Canis lupus familiaris: one gene and its partners. The protein of the gene in region 3 purifies or fractionates together with the protein of the main gene of each other region. This does not show direct contact. Links are inferred from orthologs where the notes say so. Each region holds a gene or a part of one and is shown on either strand. Other genes may lie near its edges.

What was found.
Region 1: the proteins of MAPK6 (region 3) and ECI2 purify together in Homo sapiens (affinity purification with mass spectrometry; 3 studies listed by BioGRID and IntAct, with this or other methods). This does not show direct contact. The link is inferred for Canis lupus familiaris from reciprocal best matches to the Homo sapiens genes MAPK6 and ECI2.
Region 2: the proteins of MAPK6 (region 3) and CEP170 purify together in Homo sapiens (affinity purification with mass spectrometry; 3 studies listed by BioGRID and IntAct, with this or other methods). This does not show direct contact. The link is inferred for Canis lupus familiaris from reciprocal best matches to the Homo sapiens genes MAPK6 and CEP170.
Region 4: the proteins of MAPK6 (region 3) and delta(3,5)-Delta(2,4)-dienoyl-CoA isomerase, mitochondrial-like purify together in Homo sapiens (affinity purification with mass spectrometry; 3 studies listed by BioGRID and IntAct, with this or other methods). This does not show direct contact. The link is inferred for Canis lupus familiaris from reciprocal best matches to the Homo sapiens genes MAPK6 and ECH1.

Annotation. Positions count from the first base shown.
Region 1 is NC_049256.1:5,644,946-5,650,010, reverse strand, and holds part of ECI2 (enoyl-CoA delta isomerase 2), read left to right. Parts: intron 1-937; coding exon 938-1,040; intron 1,041-1,729; coding exon 1,730-1,850; intron 1,851-3,839; exon of another isoform or gene 3,840-3,856; coding exon of another isoform or gene 3,857-3,955; intron 3,956-5,065. Other genes in the region: C35H6orf201 (uncharacterized protein C6orf201 homolog), read right to left, coding at 3,857-3,955. UniProt on the Homo sapiens protein: Able to isomerize both 3-cis and 3-trans double bonds into the 2-trans form in a range of enoyl-CoA species. Has a preference for 3-trans substrates.
Region 2 is NC_049228.1:34,236,214-34,241,278, reverse strand, and holds part of CEP170 (centrosomal protein of 170 kDa), read left to right. Parts: intron 1-34; exon of another isoform or gene 35-176; intron 177-821; coding exon 822-2,651; exon of another isoform or gene 2,652-3,451; intron 3,452-5,065.
Region 3 is NC_049251.1:18,012,490-18,017,554, forward strand, and holds part of MAPK6 (mitogen-activated protein kinase 6), read left to right. Parts: intron 1-723; 5' UTR 724-1,362; coding exon 1,363-1,917; intron 1,918-3,620; coding exon 3,621-3,765; intron 3,766-5,065. UniProt on the Homo sapiens protein: Atypical MAPK protein. Phosphorylates microtubule-associated protein 2 (MAP2) and MAPKAPK5.
Region 4 is NC_049222.1:115,069,023-115,074,868, reverse strand, and holds the start of delta(3,5)-Delta(2,4)-dienoyl-CoA isomerase, mitochondrial-like, read right to left. Parts: upstream 3,914-5,846; 5' UTR 3,870-3,913; coding exon 3,746-3,869; intron 3,331-3,745; coding exon 3,123-3,330; intron 2,979-3,122; coding exon 2,890-2,978; intron 1-2,889. UniProt on the Homo sapiens protein: Isomerization of 3-trans,5-cis-dienoyl-CoA to 2-trans,4-trans-dienoyl-CoA.

The DNA of each region.
Region 1 (5,065 bases), on a different chromosome or scaffold from region 3:
GCTAAAAACAATTCAGATGTCCATAAAGAAAGTGTTGACTCGTCATACAGTGGAATACTACTCAGCAATATAAAAGAATGAAGAACTGATATGAGAATATAGGTGAATCTTTAAGACCTGGTTCAGCAAAGAGCACACAGACACAACAGCACATATTAGAGGATTCGGTTTATAGAATTTCTAAAATAGACAAAAGTATTCTGTGGTGACTGAAGTCAGAAGGTAGTTGCACTAGGGCAGGGTGGGGGTGGGATAGCTGGAAAGGAGCTGCAGGGAATTTTCTGGGATGGTAGAAATGGTCTACATCTTGTTTCAGATGGTGATCACACAGGTATTTGCAGCCATCAAAAATCACTGAACCAAGCGTTTAAAACTGGTGTTCTTATATGTAAATTATGCTTTAACACAAAACACCTTCAGTGGCTCTTAGAATAAAAGTCAAAACTTCATGGGTCAGCAAAACCCCACACAGTCCGTCCTGCTTGTCCTCATCCTCCACTGGCTTCCCCTCTGGCTTTTTCTGCTGTGGCACACTGGCCAGAGTCCCCACCTTCACAGGACCTTTGCACATGCTGTTCCCTCTGCATGAACTCTTTCTAACCCTCTTCTTCTAGCTAACATTGCCCGTCCTTCAGCTCTCAGTTCAGTTGTTCCCTCCTTAGGAACATCCCTCCCTAAACTGCCTGATGAGAACAAATCCCCTGTTACATACCCTCGTGCCATCATCAAATACTTCTTTGTATCAGAGTTGCATTCTCCACATTTGCGTGTATGCTTTTAAATCAATGTCCAGCCTACTTACTAGTCTATAAGTTAGGACAGGAGCCCTAGCTGGCTCACCAGTGTACTCCCAGTGCGTGCCGTAGAGCCTGGCACACAGTACATACTCAGTCATTACAGAACGAATGAATTGTGAATCTGTTGATTCTATTTACAGGAAATGGTGACTATTACTCTAGTGGGAATGATCTGATGAATTTCATGAATATTCCCCCTGGTGAAATGGAGAAGGAAGCTAAAAATGGTGCCATCTTACTGAGGTAAGAGTGACATTTGTCTGATGCCAGAGAGCTCATTCTTACTCATCAAAGTGTGATTTAGTCCAGAAGAAGTAAGATAAATGCTTCTGTGTGTTAGTGTAATTAATGTGTCTTTGGACAAGCATATTTCTCCAGACTGCCCCTGTCAATATGTGGGCATTGATTCTATCACTTTAACTTCTGTTACCCGTTCAGCCTGCTGCTCCACAGGAGATTCGATTGCAAAGCACTAAAGTAAACTACAGTTATAAAAAAAGTTCTCTCATAATGAAGCAAGCAGAGCGATTTAGCAAATTCTCATTTGGCCAGAGGAATGCATGATTTCCATGACTGCTGGTAACGGGACAGGTGAAATAGTCTCAGCATAGAGGCCACGAAGGCCTCTCTCTTCCTAATTCATTTTGCCCTACAAGGTTTCGAATTCCCACTGAGCTATAATATTGTAGCATATACTCAGCCAGCCATCCTAATCTTGAAGTCTGCGACTGACAGCCCTGACCAGGCTGCCCAGAATGCGCGACTGAGCCACGGTCAAGCTTATAGGACCCACTGTGTAAGCTTCCATCAAATGCCATTCAGATGGGTGTCCAGCCTGGCCAGAGTTTATTTCAGACCCATGCTGTCTTGCTTGTGCTTCAGTCATATGCTTTGGGACATTTAAATGCGGTTTTGTATTTCCATTTCTGTAGGGATTTTGTAGGCTGTTTTATAGATTTTCCTAAGCCTCTGGTTGCAGTGATAAATGGTCCAGCCATAGGAATCTCCGTCACCATTCTCGGGCTATTCGATCTTGTGTATGCTTCCGACAGGGTAAGTCAGCCCCCAGAAACTTACTGAGTCACGAAGTAAAAATGAGGTCCTCTGAATTCTCTTTTGTTGTTGCTAGTAGTAAACAGATTATATAATTTATAGTAGAATAGACTAAATTTTGATTTTTCCCAAAGAATTACTCTAATTTAATTCAACGTGTCTTATTTGTCCTTCATTATTAACTTGGGTTTTCCTAAACACCAATATGGTTGTGAACATTGTCCCAACTATTTTGGTTCTATATTCTAATCAAATTATGTAACAGTCACTCAACTTTTGGTTTTCCAATTAATCTGAAATGGGAGATCTGGAAAGCTTGTTATGGTGGGGAAATAGCATTTTTTCATGTTCTGCAAGTGGATAATGTGATACTTTATTCCAAGTAAACAAATTGTGGACTTTAAAATTTTAGAGTATTTGAATTTTTTTAATAAGAAGGGACTTCCAAGCCCTCACTCCCTTCTATGCAAATAAGTAAACTGAAGTTCAAGTTACTTCCCTGAACAGTTTAGCCTTGGGTTCACCACTGAATTGCATTGATTCTAGTTTCTGTTCTTCTGATAGTATTAATGTATGTCATAGTAGAAAATAAAATGTTGAAAAATCTGGAAAAGCATACAGAAAAGGGTAAAGTTGAAAATCCCTTCTTATCTTACCACTCAGAGATAATCAGTCCCTTGACTCCTGGAACCCTAGGCTCTCTGCAGTTCTGTCGTTATGATCAAAGATGTGATGACCATTTGTCTCAGAAATTTTACTCTAGATTTTTTACTATGGAACTAAGAACCACTTGTAGGGTTATCAGATTCTTAGAGTACTTTTTGCTTATGCAGTGGTAAAATTTCCTGCTCTACAACCTTGTGGGAAACATTCGGTTTTTGCCACTGAAGAGATTCCTGGTTTCATTTGGAGATGTTTTCCCCACTGATAGACATAACCATATTTTAAGATTCTTATCTCTTGGGTTCGTTTTTTTGTTTGTTTTTGTTTTTGTTTTGTTCTTTTGCTGGATTCAGTTTGATTGGATTGGGCATGTTGTTAGACCTAATTGTTTTTAATAATTGTCCCATGAAAACATCAACTAAGATTCTAGGGGCCAGGCTGCCTAACCTTCATAGATGGAAGTTTCTGCTCATGTGAGAGGACTGATTGATCAACCAGTCTTGACCAGGGGTGGGGGTGGGGTTGGGAGTTCCAGACTTAAACGTGGGGGTCTCATTCTCCAGTACTTAGAGAGCAAACATATCATCCTATTTGAATATTGTCCTGATTCTCCCTCAGAATTAAAAATGACTGTCACATGTGTCTTCTTTTTCAAGGTTCCTAGGACTTCTGTCCTATGATACAAATTGGAATTGAAATTGAAAGAGAACACACATAGATCATTTAAATGCTGAAAGATTTGGCCCAGAGTAAAATATTTGACAAACAGTGACCACTTATAAGAGTTCACCCAACTGAATTAAACCAAGGTTCAATTTAAAATCAGAAAAAGACACAGAAGAAAGAACCTGTGAAGAAGAATGCATTTTATAGGATTTATCATTGACTTCATAAACAGATACCATATTGAATGTGGATTAACACTCATATAATTGAATCCTTCTTTATTATGGGCGGTAGTTAACAATGCCTATTAGTTTCCTTGTCGGCAAATTGTGCATTTTCCCTACGAGGTAATAAAAGGGTGGACATCTTAAAAATTATAAATACTTGAGAACTCACCACATACAGGGCGCTCTGTTGATGCACATTATGCATATTCGCTTAATATACCAGCAGCCCCGTAAGATAGCTACTTTTGTCTCCATCTTATAGAGTTTGCTATGGCAGAAAGAAGTTAAAAAGCTCCCAGAGTCACCAAGCAGTCTGATGCCACAGCCTAACACTTAATTACATCTACTGTTTCTGAAAATAAAAGCTAAATGCTTACTTATAAGGATGATTATAAATAAGTTAAATGTGGTTTACTATCAGTTTTTCACATACCTGTCTGCGGCCCTTAGCTATGGCTGGTGTTTCCTTTCAATTTCCCACTTACACGCCTTAGGCTGTGACTTCTCAGTATGTCCTGACTTCTCAGTATATCTTCTTGAATAAACTTTCTTTGAGGAGGAAATGATAGGTGACATTAGTAACTTTTTATTTTACATTTTTGTTTTCGTTTATATACTACATACATTATATATTTATGTCTTCTAACAATATTCATTAAGAAATAGCACCACATCTGATTATGGGAAGTGAAGTCTGAATGTTCTGTGTACATATTATCAATTACCAATTAATTTCCTTTCATAAAGACTTGTCATTCGTCAAGAAATACACAAAAATATTTGTTAAAAAAATTCGGGGGGACACTCCTGGGTGGCACAGTCAGTTGAGCTTCTAACTTGGCTTCCAGTTTAGGTCATGATCTAGGGATCATGATCCCAAGGCTCCATACTCAGCAAGGAGTCTGCTTAGAGTTTCTCCCTCTGCCCCTCCCCATTCCCTTCCCTCCCTCTCTCTCAAATAAGTGAATAAATCTTTTTTAAAAAGCAAAACAAAAACAAAGGACACCTGAGTAGCTCGGTTGGTTCAGCATCCAGCTCTTGATCTCAGCTCAAGTCTTGATCTCAGGGTTATGAGATCAAGCCTAGCAGTGGGCTCCGTTCTAGGCACTGAGTCTACTTAAAAACAAACCCAAAAACTAAAGATGGCTCTATAGTCTAAATAACCAATATTGAAATAGATTCTACTGTTTAAAGCCAATTTAATAACCTCTCTGAGGTAAAATCAAGACAGATGACAGAATGAGGAAACAATTTTCCAATTGGTATAATAAAGGCTAATCTCTCTAATATATTTTTTAAAATACAATTATAAAGCAATAGATCAACAACTTAGTGTAAAAATGGGCAATGGGGAGGAATATATAGCCCACAGAAAATTAAGTATAAATGGCCCTTTACAACATAGGAGAAAGGCCCTATCAAGAAAATTACTTGCAACCAGAATATGTAAAGAACCACAACTCGATAATAAAAAGACAACCAATCTAACTTTAAAATAGTGGACAAAGTATTATAATGGTTACTTCACCAAAGAAGTTAAATAAAAAAAGATAAAAAGCACATGAAAGGATGCTCAATGTCATTAGTCGTTACAGAAATGTAAATTAAAACCACAGGATACTACTAACACCTCCTGGGATGGTTCAAGTTAAACAACTG
Region 2 (5,065 bases), on a different chromosome or scaffold from region 3:
TTCACACTTAAAATTTTTCAAAATCTTGGGGTACCTGGGAGGCTCAGTTGACGAAGCTTCTGACTCTTAATTCAGCTCAGGTCATGGTCTCAGGGTCTTAGGATCAGATGCTCCACAGTAGGCTCTGCGCTCAGGAGGGAGTCTGCTTGTTCCTCTGCTCCTACCCCTGTTCCGAGCTATGTAATAAATAAAATCTTTAAAAACAATCCTTTTAACAGAGTTAATTTTTTTTTTTTTTTTAGAAAACCTTCTAAAGTCTTGCATTTTCTGTTTTACTTAGGAAATCCAAACTTGTCATTCTTTCAGATAGATTACAATGCTCATTAAAAAACCACGTGGAACTTGAACTCATGACTCTGCGATCAAGAGTCAGATGCTTAACCCACTGAGTGACCTAGGTGCCCCTAGATATATTCTTCTTCTGTACTATGTGATTGAAACTGTTTATTAGGCATTCTCTGTGCAATTCTACAAAACATTTTCTTGAGCAACATTTCATGGACCTTATAAAAACAAGAATAAACACAGTGACCTTCCCTGCCATAAAGTATATTGAAAGAGAAAGAGCAACAAATGACCCTAATTTTCATGTCATAAAACTGCCTTTTTGACTACCCCTGTTAGTAATCTGCCTGTTTGTATCGTGGCATTGTACTTGCTCTTGAAATGGCTCTATCACGATGCTGGCATGTTTATTCAGAGTTTCCTTGTACACTAAGCCATTTCTTAGCTTCCACTGCAAAATCTAATGTGATATGATATTATTTTTATTTGTACTTTTTTGCTCTAATACATTTCTTTTTTGTGGTTTTATTGTATAGATACAGATATCAGCGAGTCTGGCATTTCATTACGAAGTACTGGCTCGGCAACTTCCCTGGCTAGTCAGGGAGAGAGAAGGAGACGCACCCTTCCCCAGCTTCCAAATGAAGAAAAGTCTCTTGAGAGCTCCAGAGCCAAGGTTATAACACAGAGGTCAGAGATTGGAGAAAAACAAGACACAGAACTTCAGGAGAAAGAAGCTCCTACACAGGCATATCAGAAGGATAAACAAGATGCTGACCGACCCCTGAGTAAGATGAGCAGGGCAGTGAACGGCGAAGCTGTTAGGCCTGGCGGAGATAATAAAACCCTTCTTCACTTGGGCAGCTCTTCTGGAAAGGACAAAAGTGATACTGATAAGGAAGCTTCTGTGGTAAAGCAGACATTGGCCAAAATTCAACAGGAACAAAAGGAGCAGGCACAGTGGACACCTAGCAAGTTGTCTGCTTCCAAAAATGTTTCAGGTCAGATAGATAGGTGCCGGGAGGAATCTTTTAAACAAGAGTCACAACCTCAAGAAAAAGTTCCAGGACACTCTACCAGCAAAGGAGAAAGGGTGACACAAAATGAGAGCAAGCGAAGAAAAGCTGAGGATGTTCTCAAAGGTCAGAGTTCAAAAGGTGGAGACAAGAAGGAATCCTCAAAGTCCTTAGTGCGACAAGGAAGCTTCACCATAGAGAAACCTAGTCCCAACATACCCATAGAACTTATTCCCCATATAAATAAGCAGACTTCATCCACACCCCCTTCTCTGGCATTGACAGCTGCCAGCAGGATACGAGAAAGAAGTGACTCTATGGATACTGATTCCAGTATGGACACAACTCTTATTCTGAAAGACACAGAAGCAGTGATGGCTTTTCTGGAAGCCAAACTGCGTGAAGATAATAAAACTGATGAAGGCCCAGATACTCCCAGTTATAATAGAGACAACTCTATCTCACCAGAATCTGATGTGGACACAGCTAGTACAATCAGTCTGGTCACAGGAGAGACTGAAAGAAAGTCAACCCAAAAGCGAAAGAGTTTCACAAGTCTCTATAAAGATAGATGTTCCACAGGTTCTCCTTCCAAAGATGTTACAAAATCATCATCTTCAGGTGCTAGGGAGAAAATTGAGAAGAAAACAAAAAGTCGTTCGTCAGATGTAGGCTCAAGAGCGGATGGCCGTAAATTTGTACAGTCCAGTGGAAGAATGAGACAACCTTCAGTAGATTTGACAGATGATGACCAAACCTCTAGTGTACCTCATTCTGCTATCTCTGATATTATGTCATCTGATCAGGAAACTTACTCTTGTAAATCTCATGCCAGGACTCCACTTACCTCAACTGATGAGCATGCACATTCCAAACTGGAAGGAAGTAAAGTAACTAAATCTAAGACTTCTCCTGTAGCACCTGGATCATCCAGTAAATCAACCACTCTTCCAAGGCCGCGACCTACCAGGACTTCCCTCTTGCGCAGAGCACGACTTGGCGAAGTGTCCGACAGTGAACTGGCTGATGCTGACAAAGCATCCGTTGCTTCTGAAGTGTCCACAACCAGTTCCACGTCAAAGCCCCCCACAGGAAGGCGTAACATCTCTAGGATTGATTTATTGGCTCAGCCTCGTCGAACAAGGCTTGGCTCATTATCAGCTCGCAGTGACTCTGAGGCAACGATCTCTAGAAGTAGTGCCTCTTCGAGGACTGCAGAAGCCATCATTAGAAGTGGAGCCAGATTAGTACCTTCAGATAAATTTTCTCCTAGAATTAGAGCTAACAGTATCTCTCGACTATCAGACTCCAAAGTCAAAAGTATGACCTCAGCACATGGCTCTCCTTCAGGTAATTTGGATCCAGACTTTTTATAATATTAGCATATTTATTTCATGTTTTGGGACTCCCTTTTAAAAAAAAATTAGATGTCTAGTGTTAATTCTAAAAATATTCAACAGAAAGGTTATGCTATAAGAGAATATTTTCTATAAAATTATTTTAGCTCATTAGTAAATGGAAGATTCAGAAGTTACATACACTTCCAATTAATACCCTGGGACAAAATAGTGACTTCAAAATTAGTATCTGTTTAGGAATTTTAATTGTCTGGTTGACGAGATATCTGGATTCATGTGTCGAATTAGAGGAGGAATAGTATCTGGTTTAAATAATAGGAATTAACAGGAATAGGGATTCTTAAATATCCTCACGTAATTCAAAGCCCTTTGCAGAAGCCCTTTATCTGAAGAAAAGTAGTATGCTTAGCAGAGCTAAGTGAAATAATTGCTGTTTTATCCTTGCTTTCCCATTTATGTAGAAATGTTTTATATTTTTTGAAGTTAAATCTGTTTATAGTTGGGACAGGTGAAAACTAATCCTTAATTTATTTCAGTGGAAGAAGATGGATTCATGAGATAATCCCTAAGTATATATGGGTCAAACTGGGCTACAGAAACCTGATTACGAGCACTATCTCATAAAACACCGTTCTGTCACTTAACTATAGTAATTAGCTGTCAATGAATACTAATCATTCCAAAAGCTGTTTCCTCCCCATGCAAATTGAATGGCCTCTGGGATACTTGTCTGTTGGTGTACTTCATATTCACAGCTGTAGCCCAGGAGAGTACGAGTGTGTGACCATAGTACTAACACAGATGCTTGTGTGTACCCTGTACGCATGGACTCTTACTTCATAATCAGCCTCACCCCTGGGTGGGGCTACAAGGGCCAGTGAGGGGAAGCCAGCTGGTCAAAGACTTAGAGAGCTCTTATTAGCAAGCATCCAAGTGAGCCTAAGTCTTGAGGGAAGAGTGAGGGAAGGTTGGTATACAATCCCGTGTTCTGACTTTCATGTCTACCACGGTGGAGTCCACAAGACTCAAAACTAACAGTGCTCCTCATGTTCTGTTTTCACTTTTAATTCCTCCTCTCTTGTCTTCACTGCTGTTCCCTCCCCTGCACTCACAGCTCCCTCTCTCCTGGTCAGATCTGTGGTAGGAGTGCAAGTAGGTGGGAAATAGGGATTATGTAATCAGGACTCCAGAAGAATAGCTGATTTTCCTTCATGCCCCATCGTCCCTGCTTCTGCACTGGGAGCTCTTGTTGCTGGTTCATGCAGTTATTGCAAGCATTTTAAAACTGACTGCTGTCTGTCGGTTTGTGTTTACCCAGTATTGGTGTTCTGTTCCTTATGGCTCTACCTCTTCAATTCACATTTCCTTTGTGCTGCATTCTATGGTGTGTACTGTGATAGAATTTCTTCTGTCACATGGCTTGTTTGATCACCTCATCTCTATTTCAGTACATAGAAATGTTCCAGTTTTCTCCTGTCTCACTGTAAGCTGTAATGCAAGCCGTATGTCACCAAGTAGCATGGAACAGTTCCTTCTGTACTGGTTCTCTGGTCTGTGACACATGAGTGATCTGTTTAACATGAAGGGCTTCTGTGAGGTGCAAGCCAAAGAGGACTACTTAAGCAAATCTAAGAAACTGTTATAAGATGCTATGTCTTCAAAGATAAATTTTGTTTTCTCCTTTGAATACAGAACTTGATAAACATGCAGTTTCTATATCCAAAAAGTACCTTCAATTGCTTAACGATATTCCCTAGTACCTTTTGGCCCTTCTTCATACTTAATAGTAGTATATTAAATAATTAGAACCATAGAATTAAAAACTGGAAGGATTATTCAGTTTACGTAACTTAGGCCAAGAGATGCAACAACCTGTCCTGGTCACATAGCAGAGGCAGGGACAGGATGAGAAGCCCCAAGGCCTTTTCATTCCCAGCCTCTTGCTGTTTCTACCACATCCTGTCTGGCTCTCAGAAATACTCTGCTTACAAGCTTCTGGGCAATGCCTGGAATTTATTGGATTATTTCCAGAAGTATATACAAGGCCAACATACAATATATTTGGTATGTTGTCCACTATAACCTATGTAATTCTGATGTGTTACTAAATTCATGAAGCCACATTGTGATCCAGGATTGTATGTTTGGATTCTCTCAAGATGCCTGTTTATAGTATTCTATACTATCTACAAGGACAATGGCTAGCATCTCATAGTTAGTGGTCACACACTAACATAGTTATATGGGTAGGCAATAAAAAAACAAGAAAAGCAGATACTTGATCTAGTTGCTAAATGGGTTGTCTTTATGTTATGGCATTTCTACTTAAGACAATTATATCTTGACTGGAAAAGAAAATAAAAATTCTTAGATTTTGAAATATGATTTAAGAGAATGTAAAATCAT
Region 3 (5,065 bases):
TCAACCACTGAGCCACCCAGGCGTCCCAGATTTTTATTTATTTGAGTTTAGAGAGCGCATGTGAGTGCAGAGAGGGGGAAACCAACTCACTGGTGGGAGGAGAGAGCCAGACACGGTGCTTGATCCCAGGACCTTGAGATCATGACCTGAGCCAAAGTCAGATGCTTAACCAATTGAGCCACTGTGCACCCCCAAGTTCACTCTTTTGTAAATTGAAGAGCATACTCTGCAGATTTCTCATTTGTACTGCTAGATTTTTGTCCATTGGATGTTGATCAGCATAGTTAATAAGTAAACATGTTCTTTAAGGAACTAACCCTTTGCAGGCTTATTATTATGTTGTTGTTGTTTTTTTTAGAGAAATGGTACTCATGTTGTACTCCTCAAAAAAAAAAAAATTCTAAAGATTCTGTAAAAATGCCGTGAACCTTCTTTCCTTTGCTTATTGGCATTTAAGAAATGTTACAACCCAATGACTAAATATTACAAAGAATCTAGTATGGTGGGACCTAGAGTCTGAGCCTAGTACATGTGAATTGCTTACAACATGCATAGCTATTTTTGATTGAGGGTCATCTTTCCATTTAGTAACTATAAATAAGTTGAATGTACCAGTAGTCGTTTATAGCTAAATGCCCAGTTCGTGTCATTTTACAAAGTTGAAGAGTACTTAGTATTTCCTGCAGTGGTGACTCTTTTCCTTCTTTTTTTCTCATCCTCTAGGTTTTATCAGAGTAAGATGGACGGTAGCTTTGATTGTGATTGTGGTGAGCTGGAGCCACCTGATCACTAACAAAAGACATCTTCTGTTAACCAACAGCCACCAGGGCTTCCTGTTGAAATATACAGCAACAAAGGAAGAGAAGAGGCAAAACGGAAATAGTGCTTATCAGCACCTTAGAATGATGCTGCTCAGGACCAGTCCAACACTGAATGTATCTGCACTGTGAGGAGAATGTTCATAGAAGCCTGTTGTGTGCATATTTATTCACATTTTTGTTAAATGTTAAATCGTTTAGCACAGTTAAATCTGAGTGCATAGTATGTCATTTCATTCCGTTTGAGTTTCTTGAGTGTTTTCTTTAAATGTCTGCAGAGTTGCTGCCCCTTTCTTGAACTATGAGTACTGCAACCTTTTTAATTCTCAATATGAGTAGAGCTTTTTGAGCTTTAAATCTAAGGGGAACTCAACGGGCCTGGTTGGCATATGCAATGAACATCAAGAAATCATCTTGCTGTGGAAGCAAAATTATTTTTCTTTTCCTTTTTTGAAAGATCTTTCCTTTTGATGTCAGTTTTCTTCCTTGTTTACACAAGTTCAACAATTCGAAAGGAAAAAAAGGCAATAGTAAAGGTTTCAAAATGGCAGAGAAATTTGAAAGTCTCATGAACATTCATGGTTTTGATCTGGGCTCTAGATATATGGACTTAAAACCATTGGGTTGTGGAGGCAATGGCTTGGTTTTTTCTGCTGTAGACAATGACTGTGACAAAAGAGTAGCCATCAAGAAAATTGTCCTTACTGATCCCCAGAGTGTCAAACATGCTCTACGTGAAATCAAAATTATTAGAAGACTTGACCATGATAACATTGTGAAAGTGTTTGAAATTCTTGGTCCTAGCGGAAGCCAGTTAACAGACGATGTGGGCTCTCTTACTGAACTGAACAGTGTTTACATTGTTCAGGAGTACATGGAGACAGACTTGGCTAATGTGCTGGAGCAGGGCCCTTTACTGGAAGAGCATGCCAGGCTTTTCATGTATCAGCTGCTACGTGGGCTCAAATATATTCACTCTGCAAACGTACTGCACAGAGATCTCAAACCAGCTAATCTTTTCATTAATACTGAAGACTTGGTGCTGAAGATAGGTGACTTCGGTCTTGCACGGATCATGGATCCCCATTATTCCCATAAGGTATGTGGAAAGCTAGCTGAGACAGACCTTTAAACTGGTGTACATCATCAGGAATTAGGTACTTGTATTTTCTTTATATACTGTGACAGATTTTTTTTCTCCATTAATTGTATTAAACTTTATGTAGTACCTTTTTTTCTGATACAGATCTACTTTCATTCAGAATCTCCATATGTTTAAAAGGAAGTTGGGGGGATCCCTGGATGGCTTGGCAGTTTGGCACTGCCTTTGGCCCAGGGAGTGATCCTGGAGTCCCAGGATCGAGTCCCACCTCGGGCTTCTAGCATGGAGCCTGCTTCTCCCTCTGCCTGTGTCTCTGCCTCTCTCTCTCTCTCTGTGTGTGTGTGTGTGTGTCTATCATAAATAAATAAATACATCTTTTTTTTTTTTTTAAAGGAAGTTGGAGTGGGATCCTAAAAGTATATGGTTATTTATTATAATTGAAACTCTCCCTTATTTAAAAGTGAGATAAATTCTTATGTGTTTAGGGCAAAATTGTGGTCCTATCCGAAGGTAAGAGGGGATGCTATTTCAATATTTAGGTCTTTTGTCCTTTTGAGTCTTTACTGTTCTGTTATGCTTTGTTTAGGCAAATTTAATTTAGTTTGATATCTAACTTGGTATAGAGATAAAATGGGCAGTAAGAATAGCTTAAGGGATCCATAGTAACTGTACTTTAGGTAACAATTTAACTTTATATAAGAAGTAAATTGTTTTCTGAGCCAAACTTTGGTCTTTTAGTTTTCAAATGAAATTGTCTGTGGGATCCTGCTGTTTAAAATATTAAAGTGGAACTCCTCTGGTTATAAAGAACCCCTTGGAGCTCCCTGCTTGCTTGGATTCCCATAGTACATGCCTAAACAAACAGATCTTTTCATTCACATGTTAGCATCTCACATTAAGTGTAACTTAATTTTTTTAAAACTTTAATGTAGAAATATAGTATTAAAATGAAATGGACAACCATCACATCTTTTTTATGGGTAACAATGAAGTATTGTGGATAGAACACTGAACTAAGAGTTAAACTAGTTAAAATTGAGTTCCATTTCTGACCTTAAGTAGATTCCTTAATCTATGAGTGTTACCGTCCCTCTAAAATGGCATAATATCTACCTTCATAATTTTTCAGGGTTGTTTTGACCCTGTTTTAAGGACGAAGTAAGGTCGTATACGTATATAACTGTTTTTGTTAAGTGCTTTATAACCGTAAAGTAGTAAAATTGATTAGGAATGGGATATATAATAGAGCCAGGTCCCCTGCGTTGTCAGGAGGTTGGCATTGGTTTATAAGTAGCACCCTAGGTGCTCTTTTTTACCTTTCCCTCATTGATTTAAAGCATCCCTCCTCCTCAAGTAACTTAAGACTTGAAGTGAAAAATAGCTTCTCTTCGAAACATGCTTTGAATATGTGATATAGTCAGCATTAATCTTGTATAGTATATATAGTATATTTTGGTCAGCAGACTTCATGTGAACATCATCTTATGGATCATATATCCCAGGGAGAGTTTAACCCCCTATTGAGCCTGAAAAGTGCAAGAGCCTCGAAAATAGGCATATAAATCAACTGTATTGTTTTAGGATATCACTTTTTTTTTTTTTTTTTTTTAAGATCAGGGATTCTTTAATGAGTCAAGTTTTATGTACTGTTCTTCAGCTAAAGTAAAATACTAAAGTATGTGTGTTTTCTTTTTTTTCAGGGTCATCTTTCTGAAGGATTGGTTACTAAATGGTACAGGTCTCCACGTCTTTTACTGTCTCCTAATAATTATACTAAAGCCATTGATATGTGGGCTGCAGGCTGCATCTTTGCTGAAATGCTGACTGGTAAAACCCTCTTTGCAGGTTAGAAATTTTAAAATATTTGGAGAAAAAAAATATTTGGAAAAAAAATATTTGGAAAAAATTACCTCAAAGAGAAATAATTTTGTATGTATCTATGAATCAAGATTTATATAAGATTTAACATAATTTATTATAGTCTGATACTAAAATGAAAAGATAAAATGGTGTTTTAATATTTTAAAAAGTTTAGAAACCGTATATTCACTGAATATATTCACTCAGCAAATTTAGTCAAAATTCTAGTGTTATTTTGTTTTTCTTCTTAAACATAATTTTTTATTTTTTAGACTCACAATACGTGTTGGTAATCTTAAATGATGCCTGAGTTGCCCAGTGTTGTCAGTGTTTGTTACTCTTAGTGAAAATTTTTAGCTGTCATTGGAAATCCAGTAATTCTTTGTCCTCTATCATCTCTGATGTCTGAACTGCCATATCCTGTCATCTGACTGCTGTGACCTTTCAGAAACAACCAAACAAGGAATTTTTTGCTGAGTTTGGTGCTATGAGGGAGTCTATAGAAGTATGAGAGAGAATTTAGTCCAACATAGGAAAGGGTGAATAGTCCATGAAAAATATCAAGTGTTGTAAAGCAAAGTAGGAGTCTGTATAAAATTATTTAGTGCAGAGTATAAGAGCTACAAGCTTAGAGTCTTCATCAATGATGGCTAAAACAAAAGGTATAATGGAGTAAAAAGATTTTTCATTACATAGGAATAGTGAAGAATTTTGGTGGGAGGAAGAGAGAGAGAATGGTACTATATAAATGAAGGTATGAGCCTGAATCAGTGAGAAAAGATTGATGAAAGAAATCATGTACATGCATGAATTAGTGAGAAAAGTTGGATGAAAAAAGCTGTCAAATAATGAACATACTTATGACTACTTAAGATGGAGCCAGAATACTTAGAAAAGTAGGCAGAGGAATTCCCATTCGGAAATAGGGTATTAAAGATTTTTTAGTTTGATAATTGACATGGTGGTGAATTAGGTCTTTTCTCCCTTTTGACGTTACTGTTTTTCTCTCTAACCAATCTTAGAATGACCCTCTCACCACTCCCAAATTGTGCTAAGAGCAGAAGAAAGGGAATGGAGCAGGATCTACTTACAAAAAAATATTAATTAAAAAAAAAGATAAGGGTACACAGAAAAGCATTATTGAAGAAAGGATGGTATCCATAAATGCCCTTGAATTTTTTTTTAAAGAGCACTCAGCTTACATAACATTAACCAATCTTTTGTAGTTTTCCCCTTAAATTTATCTGAAATTTCTTCTGTGATGTGTGATAGTGATTGAATTTCC
Region 4 (5,846 bases), on a different chromosome or scaffold from region 3:
CTCAGGGCATGATCTCAGGGTCCGGAGATTAAGCCCCACGTTGGGCTCCCTGCCCAGTCTGCTTAAGGTTCTCTCTCTCCCTCTGCCCACCCCCTCCTGCTCTCACACTTACTCTCTCTCTAAAAAAAACCAAAAAACAAAAAACAAAAAAAATCCTAGCTCTGCCATTTTCCACTGTGAGAACCGGGCAAGTTTCTTCCTCTCTCTGGGCCTCAGTTGCTTCACACATAAAATGGGGGACGATAATTGCACTTATCTGGAAGGGTTCTGGGGAGAATTAATTAATATGTGGACAGGTCCAGACACTCTGCAGATGTTAAATACGTGTGGGCTACTTCCCTCCTTTTATTTATTTATTTATTTATTTATTTATTTATTTATTTATTTATTTAATTAGTGGTTCTATTCTATCATAGGAACTACTAATTACATTGAGTTTCTTCTTTCTGGCCTTGCAAGTCTTGCTGTTGAAAATGAGAGCAGATGGCTTCAGCCAGTTAGGAACTGAGATGATGGCCCCAGGCCTGACACAGCCACTGATGAAGCCTAGTCTTTCGTTTCTCTGGCACGAGCTCCGTGAAGAGGAGGGCTGAGAACCAGGGGCTACCTTCCTGTTTCTAGGTCCAGGGCCCCCAGGAAGGGGCTTGCGCTGTGGTGTCTGTCATCCAAACAGATCAACGAGGGATCCCTGGGTGGCGCAGCGGTTTAGCGCCTGCCTTTGGCCCAGGGTGTGATCCTGGAGACCCGGGATCGAATCCCATGTCGGGCTCCCGGTGCATGGAGCCTGTTTCTCCTTCTGCCTGTGTCTCTGCCTCTCTCTCTCTCTCTGTGACTATCATAAATTTAAAAAAAAAAAAAAAAAAGATCAACGAGAGGAGAATGAAGAGAGGGGACACGTAAAGATGTTAAGAGGGGAGACAACGAGAAATAGCCTGTTTACTGTCTGTCTTCCCCACTGAGCTGGCCACTCCGTGATGCCAGGGCCCGGGGCTGCCTCGGTCACCACTGTGTCCCCAGCAGCAGGCTGGGCCCTGTGCAGAGAGCAATGTACCCACCTACTGCTTCACTTCTGGAATGGAAGCTGCCCACATAGGACAACTAGCATGTTTTGGGTCGACAAGATATAAACCACCACCTGATGGCACAGGGTAGATTCTGGAGGAATTTGTCACTTAAAAGAAGGGACTAGCACCGTGAGAATTAGTTGGAGTTCTTTAAAAAAAAATTTTTTTTAAAGATTTATTTATTTGTTTGAGAGAGGGAGAGAGAAAGAACATGAGCGAGAGGGGCAGAGGGAGAGAGAATCTCAAGCTGACTCCACACTGGGTTTGGAGTCTGAGCGGGGCTCAAGTTTGCGGTCCTGATATCAGGACCTGAGCTGAAACCAAGAGTCATACCCTTAATCGACTGTGTCACCTAGGCACCCCGAGAGTTAGCTATTTTTAAAGTTTCTAGACTAAGGGGAGGCTGGAAGTTGTGCCTGAAGAACCAGAAAACAGAGTCCAGGGTAACCGTAGCTGCTGGAAAGTGAGGGGGGATATTCCAGAAAAAAGCGAGCCAGAGAAAGGAGCCCCAAATTCTATGGACCATCTCTGCCCAAATCTCTTGCTGACCCATGAACCATGCATGCAGCCCAGCAAGAGATCTAAAAACTGATTCCAACTAAGCTGCTAGAACAGGAAATTCAAGTCTCCAGAGGTAGAGAATAGGACCCAGAGTTTCCACATCGTCTTTCCATATCCCAATATCCAGGATACAACCCAGAATTTATTCCAAATGCAAACAAACAGGAGAATGAGACTCAGTCTTTCAAGAGAAAAGATAATGAACATAGACTGACCCCAATGTGACCCAGATGTTGGAACCAGGAGACAAGAGTTTTAAAGCAGTGGTTAGAACTAGGAGCAACAGTGCAAAGAACATGCTTGTGATCAATAACAAGCTACAGTAGAGAAACAGCAAATATAAAAAAAGAACCCAGTGAAAATTTGTGAACCAAAAACCACAGTATCTAAAATTTTAAAAATCACTGGATAGGCTTCACAGTAGAATTAGGATGACAAAGGATTCAGGGAATTTGGTCAATGGAAATTATCCAGCCTGAAGAACAGATGCGTGGGACAATTAAAAGTCCTAACAGACATGTAACTGGAAATCAGTGCGTGTGTGTTGAAAGCATGTTATTATAATACACTTTAGTGACATTAAAAAACAAACAAAAACAGACTGATAAGTTAAGGGCCTTGGTCAAGGCCACAAATCAGACTTCAAAGCTCATCATTCAGTCATGTTCTATTGGACTCATTTTGGTATTTGAATGTTTTATTTTTATTTTAAAGATTTTATTTGGGATCCCTGGGTGGCGCAGTGGTTTAACGCCTGCCTTTGGCCCAGGGCGCGATCCTGGAGACCTGGGATCGAATCCCACGTCAGGCTCCCGGTGCATGGAGCCTGCTTCTCCCTCTGCCTATGTCTCTGCCCCGCCACCCCCCCCCCCCCCCCGGTGACTATCATAAATAAGTAAAAATTAAAAAAAAAAGATTTATTAAAAAAATAAAATAAAGATTTTATTTATTTATTTATCTATTTATTCATTCATTCATTCATGAAAGACAGAGAGAGGCAGAGACATAGGCAGAGGGAGAAGCAGGTTCCCTGCAGGGAGCCCGATGTGGGACTCGATCCCAGGACCCCGGGTCATGACCTGAGCTGAAGGCAGATGCTCAACCACTGAGCCACCCAGGCCCCCCGTGGTATTTGAATGTTTTAAATTAAAGAAAGAAAAAGATACAAGTGGAAGTTAGAAGCTGGAACCCTAGTTAGGAAGCACTGCTCTAATGCCAGGAGCAGGGGAGACTGGCAGGGGTGAGGGTGGAGAGCAGCTGGTACCTGCAGTGAATACTTTTCCTGCACCAGAGATCACCACAGCCCGACAGTCAGGGTCTTGTGCTATCTTGTTGAAGCACTCCACCATCTCTCTGGGCGGGGCAAGGAGAGAAGGGCTGTGTCTTGGAAGGGTATCCCGTGCCCTCCTGAACTCTGTCCCCCACACCCCACTCCTGCCCACTCCCTCAGCCCCTGCCTCCTCCTGCAGGCAGGCCTCCATGATCCGCAGGCCCTACCTCCAGAAGGCCTTGTTCATGGCATTCCTCTTCTCAGGCCGGTTCAGCTGCACGTGCAGGATGTGCTTCTGGGCAGCTGTCACCCGAAGGGACTCATAGCTGTGGCCTGGTGCTTCTCTGGGGGCTGCTGTGGAGGCCTCATCTTGCGCAGCAGAGCTCAAGGGGCGAAGGCAAAGGCTGAGGCCCTGCGGGGTGGGCGCCACCAGTCCTGGGGAGATAAAGGAAAAGAAGAGGCTTTGAGGTGAGGACCCCAGGTTGGGGACACAGTGCCTTCAAGAGCAGAAGGGCCCCATTTCCTTTCAGTGATGTTAGACTGGGGAACACGGGTCCCTAAGAAACCTGTTTAGGAGGATACAAACTTTCAGATTAGGAGGGCACTTATCAGTGGCCTCAGTGAGAGGACTTCTTCAGACCCTTGATCGTGGGGCTGACCCTACATGGGGAACGCGAAGCGACCCAATTGTAAGGCACAGGCTTACAGAATTAGGGCGCTCTTTGGTTGGGAGCATATGCACCCCCTGTGTTTAAGGTGCTCAGCCCGGCACCCGCGACAGGCCTCCCCATCCAATGGCGCTTATGACGGCACGACGGAGCAACGGACTCCAGAGGTCGAGGTGACTCACGCCGCATTAGCAGATCTCGGAGACTGCGAGAAGCCGCCATCGCTGCCGCCATCGCAACCCAGGAGCTAGCGGAACTAGCCCGACAGACAGGAAAAAGCCAAGGGGGCGGGTACGACGCCACCATGTTTGGCGAGGGCACCGATGCCGCAGCCTGATGGCGCTGGCGCCCATACCTCCGCCATCTTTATTAAGGGCAACCGGAAACAGGCGTTTAGTAATGCGCCCTTTGCCCCAGTGGGAACCTGGCGTATTGTTGCTGCTGCACGTTTCAGCCCAGCGCTGTTGCATAATGGTGGGAGACACCGGGGACTGTTGAAAATGTTCAAGGACATAATGGCAGAGTAACTGCAGCCTTGCAATTTTGTCATCATGCACTGGGAACTTGTTAACTGGGGAAAAAAAAAGTTATCTAGTACTGAGCTTACCCTTGTAAGAGAATGAAAATATAGAGGAGCCAACATTGCGCGCTTTGCAATCTGTTTGAACTCGCACACCACCAAGAGTTCGCATTATTTTTGATTGTGCCCTGAGGAAATTGGAGCTTGGGGGAGGGAAAGTCACTAGTTGAAGGTATCTGGGCTTCAGGAGTGCCAAAGAGGGCATCTATGCGGCTCTGAAGTTCATGTGCTTAAAATAATTTCTTTAAAAAATAAAACTCCTCAGAAAAAGCCAGTTACCCAAGAACCTCAAAAGTGCCATAAAATTGCTTAAGCATGCTCTTTAGGGAATTGTGCACCAAGACAGAAGCCTCCAGGCAAATGGAATTGTAGGAAATACCTTGCCTTCTTAAATGTGTCATAGACGGGTTAAGCTCTTTTGGCAAACTTCCATCAACAGAGAACTGTTTATGGTTATCTATATAATGGGAAGCTCTGAAGCCACTGTGCAGACGCCAGGATAGGAAACAATTTTAAATTTCTTTAGAATTTATTTCTTATGATTTTATTTGAGAGCAAGTGTGTGATAGCACAAACAGGAGAGAGGGAGCAGCAGACTCCCCACTGAGCAGGGAGCCAGATGCTGGATCTCAAGACCCCGGGATCATGACCTGAGCTGAAGATGTTTAACAGACTGAGCCACCTGGGTGGCCCCTCTTTAGGATGTTTTAAAGTAATCTCTATACCCAGCATGGGGTTCAAACTCACAACCTGGAGATAGAGTCATATGCTTGACCAATTGAGCCAGCCAGGCACCCGAATAGAATTAGCATGATTGGTTGGTGTAAAAAAGATGGTTATATATGGCTGTTTGTGCATGGAGTACAATACATACACAGAGGATCTTCAAAACTGACAAGGGATAAAACTGAGTGCTGGGGGATCCCTGGGTGGCTCAGCGGCTTAGCGCCTGCCTTTGGCCCAGGGCGCGATCCTGGAGTCCCGGGATCGAGTCCCGCATCGGGCTCCCGGCATGGAGACTGCTTCTCCCTCTGCCTGTATCTCTGCCTCTCTCTCTCATTGAATAAATAAAATCTTAAAACAAGACTGGGTGCTGGGAGACAAAACGGGAAAACATTCTTACCCCCATGATTTACTTGAAAACAAATCCTAGAGGACTTAGAAGTTTATGGCTGCAAGGCAACTGTAGTTTCTCCTTTGCAAAGGTTGTTTGAAACCCTGGTGAAGCAGTTTGTTCGTTCCATAAATGCCATGTGACTTCAGATGTTAATAATCAGTTTAAATGACTTCACAACAAATTACCAAAGTGGGTTTTCTTTTCTAAGATTGTTTTTAAGAAATCGAACTCACAAGCCTGAGATCAAGAGTAGCATGCTCCACTGACTGAGCTCACCAGGCGCCAAAGTGAGCTTCCAGGTGCATATGCATCAAAAAGGCACAATGAGCTGACCTTTGCACTTGTTCTCTGCAGACTATTTCTTCCTTCCAGCATGAATCAAGGTCTTTAAAGTAGGTTCCTTCCACCTACAGCCCTCCCTCCCCCACGCCCCACTCCAACCATATACACATGTTCCCATTTACCACAATCTCAAGAGTTCTATCACATTGCAATTGTTAGCTTTCTAAAGTAGACTCTGCATCCAGTGTGGAACCCAACGCCAGGCTTGAACTCATGACCCTTGAAACCAAGACCTGAGATCGGG